Linked DNA regions of Macaca fascicularis. The protein of the gene in region 1 purifies or fractionates together with the protein of each later gene. This does not show direct contact. Links are inferred from orthologs where the notes say so. Each region holds a gene or a part of one and is shown on either strand. Other genes may lie near its edges.

The links. The genes of interacting proteins can lie anywhere in the genome.
Region 2: the proteins of IRF2 (region 1) and IRF2BPL purify together in Homo sapiens (affinity purification with mass spectrometry; 3 studies listed by BioGRID and IntAct, counting the BioPlex papers as one, with this or other methods). This does not show direct contact. The link is inferred for Macaca fascicularis from reciprocal best matches to the Homo sapiens genes IRF2 and IRF2BPL.

What each region holds. Positions count from the first base shown.
Region 1 is NC_088379.1:189,258,899-189,263,171, reverse strand, and holds the start of IRF2 (interferon regulatory factor 2), read left to right. Parts: upstream 1-1,467; 5' UTR 1,468-1,639; intron 1,640-1,760; exon of another isoform or gene 1,761-1,908; intron 1,909-1,975; exon of another isoform or gene 1,976-2,033; intron 2,034-4,273. UniProt on the Homo sapiens protein: Specifically binds to the upstream regulatory region of type I IFN and IFN-inducible MHC class I genes (the interferon consensus sequence (ICS)) and represses those genes. Also acts as an activator for several genes including H4 and IL7.
Region 2 is NC_088381.1:144,973,327-144,977,449, reverse strand, and holds the start of IRF2BPL (probable E3 ubiquitin-protein ligase IRF2BPL), read left to right. Parts: upstream 1-1,318; 5' UTR 1,319-2,234; coding exon 2,235-4,123. UniProt on the Homo sapiens protein: Probable E3 ubiquitin protein ligase involved in the proteasome-mediated ubiquitin-dependent degradation of target proteins. Through the degradation of CTNNB1, functions downstream of FOXF2 to negatively regulate the Wnt signaling pathway.

The DNA.
Region 1 (4,273 bases):
GGCGTGAGCCACCACGCCCAGCCTACCCTGTCTCTTAAAAAAAAAAAAAAAAAAAAGTGAATATTACAATAGAGGGGATAAGGAATAATGTGTATGTGAGGTCTATTTCTGAGACCAGAGTCACAAAACAGAATCCTGAACCCTTAGCTATTTCCTTACCACACAGGTGTTGGATACTTCCATTTTTCCAGTCTATATAATTCAATACTTTTGTGACAGAGAGGTGTTGGAGTTTTTTTCTCATTTTTTTTTTTTTTTTTTTTAGGCAACTGGTTACATACAAACAGCTATGGTCTCCCAGGAAGGAACTTTCTCTGTTGAATACAGAAGTCTGGGAAAAGACTGATGAAACTGCATGCGAGGAAGAAACAGGTCTAACTAAATGTGAATGTATACTTTTTTTAAAGCAAGGAACCACAAAGGGTAGGTCCCAAGGAAGCTGCATTGCTTGCTGCACCTGTCACGCGGGCTGTACCTTCTCTCATTTATTTCCATTTACAGCCTTGAAAACTGAGGCCTTAGGCTTTGGTTGAAAACCGAGGCCAAGGGTGCCCAGCCGTTGAGTTAAGGAGGCCCAAGCCGAATTTTGCTGGAAGTGCTCCAGTATAAAGCCTCTCTCAGAACCAGCCGCCACCAAGACGTCTTGAAGTCAAAGTAACTCACACCCTTGTCCACCTCGCCCTGCAATGAAGAAACTTCGGTCGCACAGGCTCCATAACTCATCTTGGCGTGAGCTGTGACTTACTGGGGGATGGGCCTCCTTTTCGTTCTAGCTACCAAGTGGAGCGGAGTGCCAGGTGGTGTCAGAGGGCGGGGCGGCCCCTCCAATGGTGGCACCCTCAACCACGGATAAGGTTCCAATTAGGTAAGGACGCAAGCAATGCTGTCCTTTCGGTTGACTGCTCCTTTCATTCCTTGCAAGTGGTCAGCGTCACAAAACGAATTTTCATTCGCTCTAAGCTGTCACACCAGCCTTGCTAACCGGATGGTCGGAGCCCCGTGCTTTCGCCGGACGCCCTCTTGGAACCTTCAGGCCACCCTGAGGATGGGCAGTCGGGTGCCCGCCCTCCTCCCCTACCGCCGCGGGCCTGCGCCCCCCACCCCGGACCGCGACTCGGGCGCTCTAGCGGCGCGTGCGGGCGCCCCTGGGTGCGAGCCACCGACTCACGAGCCGCTGCTTGTTGCTCCCGCCGCCGCGACCTGGGGAAGCGAAAATGAAATTGACTTTTCCGAGAAATGATGAAAGCGGCGCTGCCCGCCAATGAGCTGCGGCGGCGAACTTCCGCACCTCCCGGCCGGGCCGCTCGCGCCCTCCCTCCGCCTCCACCTCCTGGTTGCACAAGCTTGAAACAAACACTGGGGAGGAAGGGCGGAGGGAGGAGGGCGGAGAGGGGAGGCGAGGGAGGGAGCGCGGCCGGAGGAGGGCGGGGGGTGGGGGGATTTCCAGCCGCGGCTCTTCGCAGTTTCCTCTCCTTGTTTTGCTTTCGATCTGGACTGTTCTCAGGCAAGCCGGGGAGTAACTTTTAGTTTTGCTCCTGCGATTATTCAACTGACGGGCTTTCATTTCCATTTCACACACCCTAGCAACACTTATACCTTGCGGAATTGTATTGGTAGCGTGAAAAAAGCACACTGAGAGGTAACATTTTTCAAATAATAGTTGTGACTGTGCGTGTGTTTCTCTCGAGGGCATGTTTCTGGGGACTGTGGGGGGCCGTGTGTGTATGCGTGTCCTGATGCCTTGACACGATGTTTTGCAGACGGAAAATGCCGGGGTTCATAAATATTAATACCGATTTTTGGAGGAACAGTCGGCGCAATTATGGATCGCCTGATTTTAGGGGAAGCAGGTTCTGCTGCTGTTGCTGCTGCTACTGGGGCTGCTGAGGCTGCGAGGAGGAGGAGGAGGTAGAGAGGGAGGAGGAGGAGGAGGAGGAGGAGGTTGGTGGAGGTTTAATTTCACTTTTGGATTTGCAGATGCGGAGAGGTGGCTCCATGGACACAGACCTGCTGTGTGTGCTTCTGCGCCCCAGGTGTTGTGTGTGGGGGTGCAGGTCCGCTGGAGTCGGGCCTCATTTAAAACAAAATTGTGTGTATGTGCGTGTTTGTGTGTGCGCGTGTGTGTGTGCAGCCACCGCCGTCAGCGGATCCGAAGGAGGGGAGCGGGTCCTTCTCGGTGCCCGCGGCGGCGTCTCTCCAGGCTGCCTCCAGCGTAAATAAGCAGGCACCGCCGCCCGCCCGGCTGCCCGCGCCCGCGCCCCGGCCGGGAGGAGCGCCTCCAGCCACGGCCAGAGGAAACTTGCTGGGGCGCCCCGCGGCGGTCCCGGGGCTCGCCTGCCTGCCGGGCTCGGAGTCGGGTCGCAGGCGTCGGGTGCCAGCGGCCCGGGCGGGACGGCGGGCTCCGAGCCGGGCCGGGCGCCGGGCCTGGCCGACGCGCCCTGCTTCCTGGGGGCTGGGCCGCCGCCGCCGCCGCTCGGAAGGGACGCCGCGTCCTCCTTCCCGCCGGCCAGCGCCCGGTCGGGCCCTGGGGCTTTGTCATTGCACTTGTCCCGGCGCGCGAGGGGCTCGGGCGGCGCGTCCCGGGAGGGCACCGCGCCGAGGGGTCAGCCGCCCGGGCCGCGGCCTAGCGCCGTGCGCCCCCGGGTCCCCGCAGGCGCCCCCGGCCGGCCTCGCGCGCTGGGCCTGACCCGCCTCGGCTACGGAGCGGGCGAGGTGGGGGCGGGGAGCCTCCGGGGACCGAGCGGCGCCGTGGGGGCCAGCGTCCCCTCGGGGTCCCGGGGCGCGGGCCGCGGCGGGGTGGGGACGCGAGTGCCCGCCCCGTGCCCTCCGACCCGGCTCCGGGCGCCGGGTGACATTCGCCCGCTGGCCGAACATGGTTGGTGCAAAGCCGCGGCGGCCGCCACTTCCTTTCCGCCTCGCCGGTAGGGCTCGCCCACCGAGTGAAGCCGGCGGCGGCCAATCGCGGCGCCCGCCTGCTTCCAGTGGCACCGTCTGGGGGCCAGCGCCCGCCAGGGCTGGCGAAGCCGTTCCAAGTTCCAAGGGTCGCGGGTGTAACTCATGCCCCTCCCAGCACGCGCCGGCGTCTCCCCTTGGCCCCCGGTCTGGGTGCGTTTGCCACCGTCTCCTCCTTGTTCCCTAAGAAGCGGGGGAGGGGAAGGAGGCTGGCAGCCTGGGCCGGGCGCCAGGGCCGTGGTCGGGCACCAGGTGAAACGCCCGGGTCAGTCTGTGTAGGCCGGACCCTTGGCGATCGGCTGCGGATGTGATCCCGGGGACTGGCAGCCGAGGTAGCTCAGAAGAGCGAGGTGGCTTTCGCTCGTTTCTAACCCGCTACTGTCTGAAACTTGGGGACATATTACCCGCCCCCTCCCTCTTCAACCACCTCCCTCCCGTTGCTCCTTGTCCTTGGTTATGGAAGGAGAAAACTCAGTTCTAAATGAGGAAAAGTGGTGCTGGCATTTCGTCTTCAGCCACCGGCCTCCCTATGGCTGTGACTCGTCTGCTTTTGATGAATGGCCAGGAGGGATGGAGGATCGTTAGATTTCCTGTTGTGGATTTTCAGGAATCACCGAGACTGCTGTCGAGCCTGCAGTCAGTTACTAGTTTTCCTATCTACTGTAGGTTCTCTTCGAGCAGTTCAGTTTTTGGTGCTTAAGGGCAGGTGCACAAGGGGGTCTGGGGTTAGACCAGGCGGCGGATAACCTTGATGCCAGGCAGATGCAGTTATCCCCACCAGGCCCAGAGGGTGACTCTTTAACTTCACCGCTCACGAAGATTCAGGATTCTCTGATTTCCCCAACTTTCCTTTATTCTTCTTTTAGGGGGAGAAGGGGCAAAAATAGAAACCTAAAAAACCCTGGGAAAAGGAGCCTTTTCTGAGGAAACTTCAGCAGATGAAATATTTAAGACTTGAACTGGGATCTCTAGGGGGAACGTTGGAACATCTATTGATTGATGTGTCAAAGTCCGGAATTTCACGTAATTAGTGAACGATTATAACTTGTAACTTTGTTGTGTAAGAAATTACATTTTGGTCTCTTAGATCCAAGAGTTCTTGTCTGTTACGATTTGTAACTGCTTGTTAAAATTAAACATTTACATATTTCATTCTCAGTGAGTTGTCATTTTTTTGTTAGAGAAAGTTCCAGTTACTTCAGATTTACTTACCTGTAAAAATGTCATCATAATCAAAAGCAAGGATTTGTAGTCAAACTGGAAGCAAATTATGGCAAACACATGTGTGCCATGAAGTTCTGACAGCCCTATGAACAATGGT
Region 2 (4,123 bases), on another chromosome or scaffold:
GACCAACAAATCCGTTGTGTCATAAGCAATACTGATGAGCAGTGATCTTATAAGGCAAAAGAAATCACCGCCTTGGCCGGGCGTGGTGCTCATGCCTGTAATCCCAGCACTTTGGGAGGCCGAGGCAGGAGGATCACCTGAGGTCAGGAGTTCAAGACCACCCTGGCCAACATGGTGAAACCCTGTCTCTACAAAAATACAAAAAATTAGCCGGGCCTGATGGCAGGTGCCTTAGGCCAGCTACTCGGGAGGCTGAGGCGGGAGAATCGCTAGAACCTGGGAGGCAGAGGTTACAGTGAGCGGAGATCGCGCCATTTTGCACTCTAGCCTGGGCGACAGAGCGAGACTCCGTCTCAAAAAAAAAAAAAAAAAAAGAAAAAAGAAATCACGGCCTTGTTCTGCCTTCTGGGGCAGCATGGAGTGAGATCACAGCGCCTCAGAAATAACTTTGAAAACTGCGACTGTGCTTTACAAAAAGATACCAGTATTATTAAATGCTGCCCCTACCTTTTAAAAATCAAACTCTAGAAAAACCACTCACCTGTTTGGCCTCTCCGGCCCCTACCCCTCCCTGCCCTCAACTGCAGCTGTGCGCAGCCAGTTGACGGTTTTCCTTAAAGGCCTCGGGGTGCTCGTATCTTCTTCAGACGTTCAGCCAAAATTTTTAGAGTGCGGCTAGGGGGAAGGGTAGCGCACTCTGAATTCATTTAGCTCCATCGTTGAAGCCCAGGTTCCTAGATCAGGGCACAAAAATAAATAGAAAACACAGTTTCTGGAAGATTGTAAAACAGTTAATTTTGCAGGTGCTTCGGCATCAGTGGTGGCGATGAATGTAACATCCCCGTCGGAGGGGGGGGATAAGGTTCAATCACAGATGAAATGGTTAATACCTTATACGAAATTCACGGCGAAAAATCCTGAAACAGGACATTTAAATTCACTGCCGAGGCTTGGGGGTGGGGTGGGGAGCAGGGATCGGAAACGACGCTAGTGGTTCTTAAATGCGTTTTTACTTGGGAATGCCGGGCAGGGAAAGGAAAGGTCATCGTCTGTTTAATTTCCACCCCCAGCTCTGGACTTCCAGCATTAGCTCGCCGGGCCTCAGCTGTTGTACACACACGGCGAGGGGGGAGGGGAGGGCGGAGGCGCGGAGGAGGGGCCGGCTGGGAGGAATCTGGGCAACCTGCCGCGCATGCGCCTTTCCGGAGCAACAAGTGGGCTCCACAGAGGAAGTGTAAAGGGAAGGGGGGGAGAACTGGTGCAGAGCATGGCGGTGACGTCAGCGCTCCGCCCGGGCGGCATCCCGCGCGGCCAAGCCGGGGACAGCGCGAGCCGCAGCCGGAGCAGGAGCGCCGAGACGCGCCTCCGGAACGTAGAGTAACAATCACAACCCCACATTCCGGGCGAGCGCGAGCACGAGCGGGAAGGGATGCGACCCGGGCGGAGGCGCCGCGCGAGCGCCCTGCAACCAACGTGAGCGCCGCCAGCCGCGGCGGCCCGGGCGCCGGCCAGGCCTGGGGGCGGCGGGAGCCTGCGTGCGTGCCCTCCTCTCCTCTGCTCTCGTGCGTCCTGGAAGCAGTGGCCGCGGCGGCTCCCTCCGGGGTGCAAACCCAGCCGCCGCCAGCAGAACGGCCGACGCTGCGAAGGGGAGACGGTCCTTTCTCGGCTGCCACCCCCTCCCCCGGTCCTCCGGGGAAGCAGCGGCTTCAGCAAGATTGGACCCGGGCACCGGGTGGCACTGAACCCTCTAGCCCTCGCCCCAGGGGGCCCGTCGGGGAGAGGACGCAGCTTGTAGGGGGGCCCCCGGGGAGAGGAAGAGACAGCCCCTTTCGAGCTTCCACGAACCATCCACTCCGGGGAGGGGGCCAAGAGGCAACGGCGGCCAGCACCGGGCACCCTCGCCCCCTCCCCTCGGGCCGGGAGCTTCCAACCCAAGTCTGCAGCACCAGGAAGAAGGCGCCTGAGCTCCCCTCGCGACGAGACAACCGCAGTAGGAAGTGGGGACGAAGAGCGGGCTGAACCCGTCCGCTGCCCGGGCGGTGGAGCCCCCACGGCGAGGCGCTGCGCCGGCGGTGGAGACTCGCGTTCCCTCCAGCCCCTGGGGCAGAACTTTCTCGCCCCCCCTCCTCCCTCCCCCGCAGTCGGACTCCCTCCCCAGCCGGCCAGTCCTCCCGGAGGAGAAGGCGTCGCGGAGACAGCCCGGGCGGGGGCCTACCTTCCCCAGGGCCGGCATCATGTCGGCGGCGCAGGTGTCCTCGTCCCGGAGACAATCTTGCTACCTGTGCGACCTGCCCCGCATGCCTTGGGCCATGATCTGGGACTTCTCGGAACCCGTATGCCGCGGTTGCGTCAACTACGAGGGCGCCGATCGCATCGAGTTCGTGATCGAGACCGCGCGCCAGCTGAAGCGGGCGCACGGCTGCTTCCAGGACGGCCGCTCCCCTGGGCCGCCGCCGCCCGTCGGGGTCAAGACAGTGGCCCTGTCGGCTAAGGAAGCGGCGGCGGCGGCAGCAGCAGCAGCAGCGGCCGCGGCCGCCGCGCAACAGCAGCAGCAGCAGCAACAGCAGCAGCAGCAGCAACAGCAGCAGCAGCAGCAGCAGCAGCAACAACAGCTCAACCACGTTGATGGTTCCAGCAAGCCTGCGGTGTTGGCGGCCCCGTCTGGCCTGGAGCGCTACGGCCTGAGCGCGGCCGCCGCCGCCGCCGCCGCCGCCGCCGCCGCCGCGGTGGAACAGCGCAGCCGCTTCGAGTACCCGCCACCGCCGGTGAGCCTGGGAAGCAGCAGCCACGCCACGCGGCTGCCCAACGGCCTGGGGGGCCCAAACGGCTTCCCCAAACCAACACCGGAGGAGGGACCCCCAGAGCTGAACCGCCAGAGTCCCAACTCGTCTTCAGCGGCGGCGTCTGTGGCGTCTCGGCGTGGGACGCACGGTGGGCTGGTGACGGGGCTGCCCAACCCGGGGGGTGGCGGAGGTCCCCAGCTTACTGTGCCCCCCAACCTGCTGCCGCAGACGCTGCTTAACGGCCCGGCCAGCGCCGCAGTACTCCCCCCACCCCCGCCCCACGCTCTGGGCAGCCGTGGGCCCCCAACGCCTGCTCCCCCAGGGGCTCCTGGGGGCCCCGCTTGTCTCGGGGGTACCCCGGGTGTATCGGCCACGTCGTCCTCCGCGTCGTCTTCGACCTCTTCGTCGGTGGCAGAGGTGGGCGTGGGTGCTGGTGGCAAGAGGCCCGGCTCGGTGTCTAGCACAGACCAGGAGCGCGAGTTGAAGGAGAAGCAGCGCAACGCCGAGGCCCTGGCCGAGCTGAGCGAGAGCCTGCGCAACCGCGCCGAGGAATGGGCCAACAAGCCCAAGATGGTCCGCGACACGCTGCTCACGCTGGCTGGCTGCACGCCCTATGAGGTTCGCTTCAAGAAGGACCACTCGCTGCTGGGCCGCGTTTTCGCCTTCGACGCGGTCTCCAAGCCCGGTATGGACTACGAATTGAAGCTGTTCATTGAGTACCCCACGGGCTCGGGCAACGTGTACTCCAGTGCGTCTGGTGTGGCCAAGCAGATGTACCAGGACTGCATGAAGGACTTCGGCCGGGGCCTATCCTCGGGTTTCAAGTACCTGGAGTACGAAAAGAAGCACGGCTCCGGGGACTGGCGCTTGCTTGGGGACCTGCTCCCCGAGGCCGTGCGCTTCTTCAAGGAGGGCGTGCCTGGCGCTGACATGCTGCCCCAGCCCTACCTGGACGCCAGCTGTCCCATGCTTCCCACGGCGCTGGTGAGTCTGAGCCGCGCCCCCAGCGCACCCCCGGGGACCGGGACCCTGCCGCCTGCGGCGCCCTCGGGCCGGGGCGCAGCCGCCAGCCTGCGCAAGAGGAAGGCCTCTCCGGAGCCCCCGGACTCAGCCGAGGGCGCGCTGAAGCTGGGCGAGGAGCAGCAGAGGCAACAGTGGATGGCGAACCAGAGCGAGGCGCTGAAGCTCACCATGTCCGCCGGGGGCTTCGCGGCGCCGGGGCACGCGGCAGGGGGTCCGCCTCCGCCGCCCCCACCTCTGGGACCTCATTCTAACCGGACCACCCCACCTGAGTCAGCCCCCCAGAACGGTCCGTCCCCCATGGCCGCCCTCATGTCGGT